Linked DNA regions of Mus musculus. Each later gene encodes a partner of the first gene's protein in a complex. Each region holds a gene or a part of one and is shown in the gene's direction. Other genes may lie near its edges. The genes, in order: Nme5 and Dydc2.

Region 1 (4,489 bases):
GGGAAGTTCCTTGTCTTAATGGATCCGGATTTAACACACAGTGGGGTGAGGTTGTCTGGGAAGGCCAGCAGCAAGACGGCCGGAGAGGAGTTAGTTACGGTCAGGTCTGCTTTCAGAGGCCCGAGTCGTAAGGCTAGAAGCAAATCGGGTGCTGGACTCACTGACAATGTCTCATTTGTTGCAACTGTTGACATTAATGTACATGTATATTTCCCATAATTTGGAGAAGACAGAGTGAGTTCAAGGAGACTTGTAAGGATTTCTCTTTGGAAAGCATCAAATTTTAAAAGGTGTAGTTTTATCTGTTTGCCAATAAAATAAATACAATTGCATACACTTCCTCCTGGCCCTCAAGGTTCATGGTTTCCTGTCTGTGCATTGCTCCTGTAGGTTCTGAGTACTTGGCTGGATAAAAGGAAGGACTTGAGTAGTCTGGAATGAGTGCCAGCTAATGTGGTGGATGAAGAAAGGGGACTTTGTTAGCCTGGAACTACAAGTCTGGTTCTTTCTCAAGTTACAGCTCTTCTTAGGACTGGCCAGAGACGATGTGAAGACTTTCCCTCCCTCTCTCTCTATTCCCTTTCCAAATAAGGACAGTAATGCCTTGCCTCCTAACTAAGAAGCCAATGGTGCTTGCAGATGGAATATTTTTTAAAGGGGTGGGGTGTGGTGGGGTGGGGTACCAAGATCTGGATTTATGGTGTAAATATTGCTCATATTTTTGTTGCATAGACTTAGAAGTAATTTGATTGAACCTTTGTTTCTCTATAAATAAATATTTCGCAAACTAAAGATTTTGCTTGGTTTTTGAGTCAGAGAATCAAAACCTAGGCTTTCCTGTAAGTCCCCATTGCATCCAGCCTCTGCCTCCAATGGTGTGCTGGGATTAGGGGTTTCCACCACCAGACCACCAGGCCTTGCAAAGGCGGTTTCTAAACGGTTAAAGAAGCTGGAACTAGAGGGGATGGCATCACGTGGTGAAGCCCAGAAGGTGTTTGATGTGGCTCAGTGGTTAATTGCTTGCCTAGATTTGATCCTAAGCACCACCACCACAACCACCCAAAAAAAAAAAGAAAAAGAAAGAAAAAAAAAAAGAAAAAGAAAAGGAAGGAAAGAAAAAGTAAATAGCTGAGAGGTGTCTGATTTATCTCATTTACAGCGTGTGGATAAGGTACACATCCTTCAAGAAAGGAGGTCATCTAGAGAAGGTCTGGCGCTAAGGCTAAAAGGGTAAAGATGACCACTTGATTTCCATCCCTGGAAACCACAGAAACACGGGAAGGACTTCACAAAGTTGTTTTAACTCCACATCACATCACATCACATCACATCACATCACACACACTACACAGTAAATAAAATTGTTTTTAAAATTAGTGTGGGAAACGTTAGAAGTGTGTGTAGTACAAAAAGAATAAAATGTGCACGGCTAATTGTTGCCCTAGATTAAAACTAACTAGAGCCATTTAAAACGCGGCTGGAATTGGCCCTCTGCAGCCACCGTTAGGAAACCAGCTTTGGGTCTCTTAGCAACGGGCTTTGACAACACCTGAACAGAGTAAGTAAAGCTTGGGAGGGTCCTGCGTGGAGATTTCCCGAGGGCTCGGGGACTCATCTTTTCTGTCATGCTTAAGCCTGCACCAAGTGGCCCCTACGGGGTGGGGCCCCTTCACTAGGACAGCCGGCTAGGTGCCTTCCTTTACCCCTGAGAGCGACGCTGACCATCCGTCCTCCAACCTCAGTCAAGCGGCTAGGGCTCCCCTTGCGTGCAGTACAAGTCGGATTCTTGCAAAACTGCTCTCGTAGAAAAACATAGCAGTTTCCGTTTTTATAAATTAATCAAATCTAGCACCAAATTTTGCCACAGGCTGATTTTGGGACCAGGACTCCTGTCGTTGCTGTGGATAACTGGTTAGGAGATTTGAAAATTGTACCGGAAAACGCCAGAATGGAGGTATCAATGCCCCTGCCTCAGATATATGTAGAAAAAACCCTAGCCCTTATCAAGCCAGATGTTGTTGACAAAGAAGAGGAGATACAGGATATTATTCTGGGATCTGGATTCACCATTATTCAGGTAACGTCTGCTGTCTCTTTTATTCGTTTTCCGTTATTCCTATATAAATGTAGCCACCCGATTAGATCCTTAGTAACATTAAGTTTACATTTCTAAATATAAAGGTTATATATAACCTGGGCATGTGCTCCACACATGCCTGTGATCTCGGTATCAGGCGCTCGAGGCGGGTCAGCTATGTACTGACTTCCAAGTTTAGCCTGGGAGACCTGTCTCAAAAACAAACAAGATACAAGTAACAGACAAGTTTTTTCACACTTCAAAGGATGGAGAGTACGACATCAAAGAAGCCAACCGCCTTTCCTTCCCTTCCCTTCCCTTTCCCAAGTCAGCTCTAGGGAGGGGCAATGGCTTAGCTACATTCTTTCTCCTGGGTGTTTCTAACATTCTGGATCATTAAATGAGAACCTACTTATCCCTTCTAGGTTATGTGCAATATTCCTGTGCATATTTTGGTTCCTGGTGTCAGTAGGTTTATTTTTGTTTTGTTTTGTTTTTTTTCTTTTGGTTTTTGTTTTCAAGAAAAGATTTCTCCGTATAGCCCTGGCTGACTTGGAACTCACTAAGTAGCCTGGAACTCAGAGATCCCCCTGCCTCTTCCTCCCTTGTGCTGGAATTAAAGGTGAGCACCGCCACAGCCAGCGAACATTTAGAGTTAAAACCAATATTTGTTCTGTAGTTGGTAAACAAAGTCAAAGAAGTCAGGCCTCCCAGAAGACAGTGAGAGATTAGCTTGGACTTCATAGTGAGTCCTAGGCCATCCTGGGATACATGGATGCAGGCCTTGGAAGTAGTGACATATGATCCCAGCCCTAGACATGGTAGGACTGGAGGATCTGAGTTCCCAGTGATCTTGGGCTTCACAGAATTCTTTTTTTTTTTTTTTATGTATGTATGTGAGATGGTTGTGAGCCACCATATGGCTGTTGGGATTTGAACTCAGGACCTTCAGAAGAGCAGTCAGTGCTCTAACCCGCTGAGCCATCTTGCCAGCCCCTTCACAGAATTCTTAACTGTCCTCTAGTAGACAAGGTCTCCAACTAAAAGACAAGTTTATAAATAGATGAAATAGAGCTTAGTGTTTGTAATATTTTGTTTGAATTTTATTCGAACTATAATTTTAAGAGAATAAAACATTTTTATTCTCTTAACTGTATGAATATAGCTGAGTTTGGTGCTTTTTATCCCAGCACTGAGAAGCAGAGATGTATGTTTCTGTTGAGTTCAAGGCCAGTATGGTCTCTATAGCAAGTTGCTAGCCAGCCAGGGTAACATAGTGAGACTTTTATTTTTTTAAGATTTATTTATTTTATGTATATGAGGACATATACATAAAATGTAGCTGTACAGATGGATGTGAGCCATTATGTGGTTGTTGGGAATAGAATTTAGGACCTCTGTTCACTCAGTCTCTGTTTGCTCCAGCCCAAAGATTTATTTATTATTATAAATAGGTACACTGTAGCTGTCTTCAGACACACCAGAAGAGGGCGTCAGATCTCATTACGGGTGGTTGTGAGTCACCATGTGGTTGTTGGGATTTGAACTCAGGACCTTCGGAAGAGCAGTCTTACATGCTGAGCCATCTCAACAGCCTGAGACTGTCTTAAATTTTTTGTTGTTTGTTTTTTTGAGACAGGGTTTCTCTGTGTAGCCCTGGCTGTCCTGGAACTCACTCTGTAGATCAGGCTGGCCTCGAACTCAGAAATCTGCCTGTCTCTGCCTCTCAAGTGCTGGGATTAAAGTGGTGTGTGCCACCACTGCCTGGCTCCAGCTAAGTTTTTTTTTTTTTTTAATATTTTTTATTAGGTATTTTCCTCATTTACATTTCCAATGCTATCCCAAAAGTCCCCCATTCTCTCCCCCCAGCTAAATTTTTTATATAGTATCATATTATCTATTTTTCTAAGTGTTTTAAAATAAAAAACAAAAACAAAAACAAACTGGGGGCTGGAGAGATGGCTCAGTGGTAAGAGCACTGACTGCTCTTCCAGAGATCCTGAGTTCAATTCCCAGCAACCACATGGTGGCTCACAACCATCTGTAATGGGATCTGATGCCCTCTTCTGGTGTGTCTGAAAACAGCTACAGTGTACTGACATGTATAAAATAATTAAATCCTTAAAAATAAAGAAATGAATGAAAAAATAAAGAAAACAGAGTTGGAGTGGGGTTGTGGCCCAGCGTTTGCTGAGCAAGTACAGGGACATGAGCTTGAATCCCCAGCAAGCATGTAAAAGCCAGGTGTGACGGCAGCACCTGTGTGTAATCTCAGTGCTGGGGCAGCAGGGCAGGAGAGTCCTGGAGACACAGTGGCGAGCAACTGTGGCTGGCACCCAGTGCGGACTATAGCTCCACAATATGGCACCTGCATTCCCACATATGTGCATATACACACACGAACACAGACAT
Region 2 (3,814 bases), on another chromosome or scaffold:
AATGTCACTGGGTCACCATGCAGGAGCTCCCACCCCTCTCTTTTTCTGTGTGTGTGTGAGTGGGTGGGTGTGGGTGAGTGCGTGTGTATTTCGTGGGAGGGGTTAAGAATGTATGTCCCTCCCTTCTTTTTTCCTCCTTCTTTCCTTCCATTCTTTTCCTAAAGCGAGTTACTTTTACCATGCACCCTTTCTTACAATGTTTGGCCTCACTATAAGCCAAGAATGATGGACCAAAGGACCATAAAGCCAAGCCTTTCCCTCTTCAGTTGAAGAGATCAAGCATTTTTGTCACAGTAAGGGTGATCCAGAAATAGTTCTTATTCTTCCTGGAACGAATCTGACTTGTTAGAATGGATCTACTTTGAAGGTTAGATTGCGCTTGTATAATAGAGCATTTGATTTGGTGTGTCCTAGGTTCTCAGCATGGATACTGCCTACCTGAAGAACTGCTTTGGAACCGGCCTGACCCAGGCACTGGCAGAGGTGGCAAGAGTGCGGCCCAGTGACCCAATAGAGTACCTGGCTCACTGGCTTTACCATTATAGGAGTATAACTGTAGCTGAGGAAAAGGTGTGTTGTGTCCTGGGCCTGCTTAGGTAGGGTGCAGCTTGCTCAGAACAACTTGAAATCCAAGTTATAGTCCTGAGTTGGCCAGGAGAGTTTTTGGCTCATCTCCCTTCTGTGGATTGCTTTGTCCCAGATGTCTCTGAAGTATGCAGGACTCGGGGGGGTAAGGAGGAAATCTAGCTTAATGGGTTGTAGAATTGGGTTGGCAGCTACTGGCTAGCTAATGCTTGCAATAGTAAGTTCAGTAGGCCTCATTGGCCCAGGCCTATCTCACATGAGGGAGGGCTCCTTTCTAAGGGATGTGACCTGATTTGTCTCTGTCATATTACCCTAGAGAAGGCAAGAGGAGCTACAGCTTAAGGAAGCACGTGACAGAAGCGCTGAGGAAGCAAAAACAACAGAAATGCTGAAAGAAGAAGGCTATCAGATTCAGCAGAAGTGTGAAAAGTGTCACCAGGTAGGAAGGAAGAATGGAAAATTCAACTCAGCCTCTATCAGCCAGGGGTTTCAGGAAATCCTCAAGATGCCCAGCACAGGGTAAAACACACTAAAGCTAGCCTGAGCCTGCTTGTCCCTCATAGCCACATATCAAGCATGTCCTCTATGATGCAATACAGATGTCAGAATCCAACACCAAACAGTTGAAAGCAAGTCCGCCTTCTTCAGATTAGCAAGCAGAACTTTAGTATCCCGAGCTTATCCCCGTCCCGCGGGAAATAAACACAGGACACACCAGATTCTTCCACGGTTAACTTTTACTTCTATATCATATTGAGGTAGACAAAGAAAGCTCAGAAAGTGTGTGGCTTAAATACTTTTGGTGACGTGTCTAAACTAGGACTGGTAGCAACACCCATGATCCTCATGCACCCTGGGGATAGGTTAAAGCCCCCAGGGGTTGGGCAAAAGCCCTGGAGATGGACTGGTGACTTTGGCTGGCTGTGCTCTCGCAGCTGCGCACAAAGAGGTTTAGCACTATCTAGTGGTGGCACATATATTGCAGCCCTTTACATCTCCCCCTCTATAATTTATTAAAATGAGGCTGGTCTAGGCCCTGTAGTTATGTCCATCTGCTGTGGCCCCTGTTTTAGGTCGTTCCTCCAATGTCACAGCCTTACCCGTTATCGGGTAACCCTATCACCACCGGGCCCCATTGTCTTAGGTTGGTCTGTGCATGAGGAAAGTTGCCCGTCTTTGGATACCACAGTGCTGTGTGACTATAACTGCTAAATGGCCTAGGGTGAACTCTACAAAAGAGGCCAGCCAAAAATGAATTAGTGGGGAAATCATGATCACCTTATCACATGCAATGAGGAAACCTCAGCAATGTGCACGGACTGATCAATGATCGTTGAGTTTCTCTCATCTCAATGCAATGTATCCACAATTTTGTGGGATGCAAGGACAGAGAACTCAAATGCCAACTAATTCTTGAGAATAGATAGCCAAATTTCAGGGGAGGTGCCTTGCTCTATGGCAGCAAGTGCTTGAGCAATTACCACCTTGTCACGTTTCTGTTGAGATCTGAGTTTGCATACCAGCCATAGAAGAAACACTAGTCCACAACACAGGGTTGCGCCAAACAGGCCCACTCCCACCCACTCTTTAAAATGTGAGAATGCAGAGGACATCTAGGAAGAAAGTCCTTTGATTCCATCGATCAATGATGGGTCCACACGCGTAGAATTAATCGTCATCACTGCTGTACGTAACGCCTCAAGCTTTTCGTCAAATCCTTCAGACCAGTTTCCTGTAAGAAACAAAGACAATTCTTTAGATAGATTAGCTGCATGTGTCCAATTTTCATATTGGACACTAGTAATACATAAGGCTCCTGATTTCTTATCACAGCCAAGCTGAGCCAATTGGAGCAGAATTTCCAGTCTTTTCTCCACCAGGTCAATGCGCTGGTTCACTATCATTAGCCCACCTTTTAATTGGGCACTGAGCACTGAATGTTGATCGATCGCTTTTGTTACAGAGGAGGACAACTGCTCGACAGTTGTACTTGACTGGACTGATGTTGCCATAGCAATTCCAGCAGCTGTAGCTGCCGCCGCACTGGCAGCCATTGCCACCACAACGGCTGCAGTGATACCAAAGTCTCGCTTTTGCCTGTGTAAGGTTATGGTGGAAGGGATCTCCACGGGGACAGGAACCCATCGTGGAATCTTGGCAAGCATTGCACGGCTGGCCCACTTAAGGCTCCAGCATTGTGACATCCAGCAGGTTTCATTAGTGCAGGATTCAAAGGAACCATTAGAAAGAATAAACAAGAAAGGGGTATACACACAAACTGGAGTAGGTAAATAATTAGTCTGCTTTATCAATGTCTTATTAAATCCAGTGATTTCAGTAGTAGAATTTTGATAAATGGTTCTATCAGGTAACAGAACTTGATGAAACTGAGCAAATTTTGAAATACCATTAAAAATCGTTTTTCCAGCAGCTCCTCCTTGGAGGAAAACCAAGGGATTAAGATCTGTACAGCTACCATTAATCCCACAAAGTACCCATTTATGAAAAGGATGCATTCTAAAGTCCTGTATGAAAAGTCCCTTTTTCATAACATATTTCTGCTCTGGGTCATCTATCATGTTGGGAGAAAAGGAAAAAGTTTTACTCTGATCTGCCCAACGAGTGACAGAGGATTGACAATCAGACCAAGGCAGGATCAGCCCTTCATCTTCCAAGCTACAATGAGGAGCCATTTTTGGTTGATAGGGACGTTCTTTGTCTGAAAAGTTAGGTGGTAGAAATGTACCATTAACCCAGGTTGTCTCATGCCAGAAGGTCCGATTTGTAAGGGTTATATCTCTGTTGGAAGTGTTTTGGGTTATTTTCACCACGCCTCCTCGATACTTAAAAAACATTCCCAAAGCTCGGCTGGTGAGTCTGATACAATTTCCTAATTCATAAATTTGGAAACAGAGAGAACCTCGTTCCCTTAAAGAGCGTTTTTCTCCCAATGGTGCCCAGATAGGGTCAAATGGTAGGTATGGCAGGCCTAAAGTTTTATTGGTCGTAAAAAACTTGGGAAAAACAGCTGTATTATGACGAACAGGCATAGGCTTAGGGAAAGCAGACAGAATTGCCCATCTATACTCTCCAAATATACTAGGAACCCAAATCCACAGAGGTAGCATGAGGATTAGAGGTAGTTTCCAAGGGATCCATCTGGGAGTCATCTTCAGGTGTCGGAATTTTCCGTGTCAGTCGTTCCGGCAGCCAAAATGGGTTGTCTTCT

The links.
Region 2: the proteins of Nme5 (region 1) and Dydc2 are in contact, whole or in part, in a cryo-EM structure (PDB 8X2U), measured with the Mus musculus proteins. Residues at the interface, in NP_542368.2 of Mus musculus: Arg140, Ala145, Val146, Ile147, Ile151, Pro152, Ala156, Ala157, Tyr160, Ile161, Tyr164, Val165, Thr168, Leu169, Leu173, Leu176, Cys177, Lys180, Pro181, Asp183, Pro184, Tyr185, Leu186, Leu188, Ala189, Asp190, Leu192, Met193, Asn196, Pro197; in NP_001347537.1 of Mus musculus: Asp2, Tyr5, Leu6, Cys9, Phe10, Gly13, Leu14, Leu18, Val21, Ala22, Arg23, Val24, Arg25, Pro26, Asp28, Pro29, Ile30, Glu31, Leu33, Ala34, His35, Leu37, Tyr38, Tyr40, Arg41.

The regions. Positions count from the first base shown.
Region 1 is NC_000084.6:34,576,146-34,580,634, reverse strand, and holds the start of Nme5 (nucleoside diphosphate kinase homolog 5), read left to right. Parts: upstream 1-1,519; 5' UTR 1,520-1,558; exon of another isoform or gene 1,559-1,867; 5' UTR 1,868-1,948; coding exon 1,949-2,077; intron 2,078-4,489. Other genes in the region: Brd8dc (uncharacterized protein LOC271508), read left to right, coding at 391-441. UniProt on the Homo sapiens protein: Functions as part of axonemal radial spoke complexes that play an important part in the motility of sperm and cilia. Does not seem to have nucleoside diphosphate kinase (NDPK) activity.
Region 2 is NC_000080.6:41,059,105-41,062,918, reverse strand, and holds part of Dydc2 (DPY30 domain-containing protein 2), read left to right. Parts: intron 1-414; 5' UTR 415-423; coding exon 424-570; intron 571-901; coding exon 902-1,024; intron 1,025-3,814.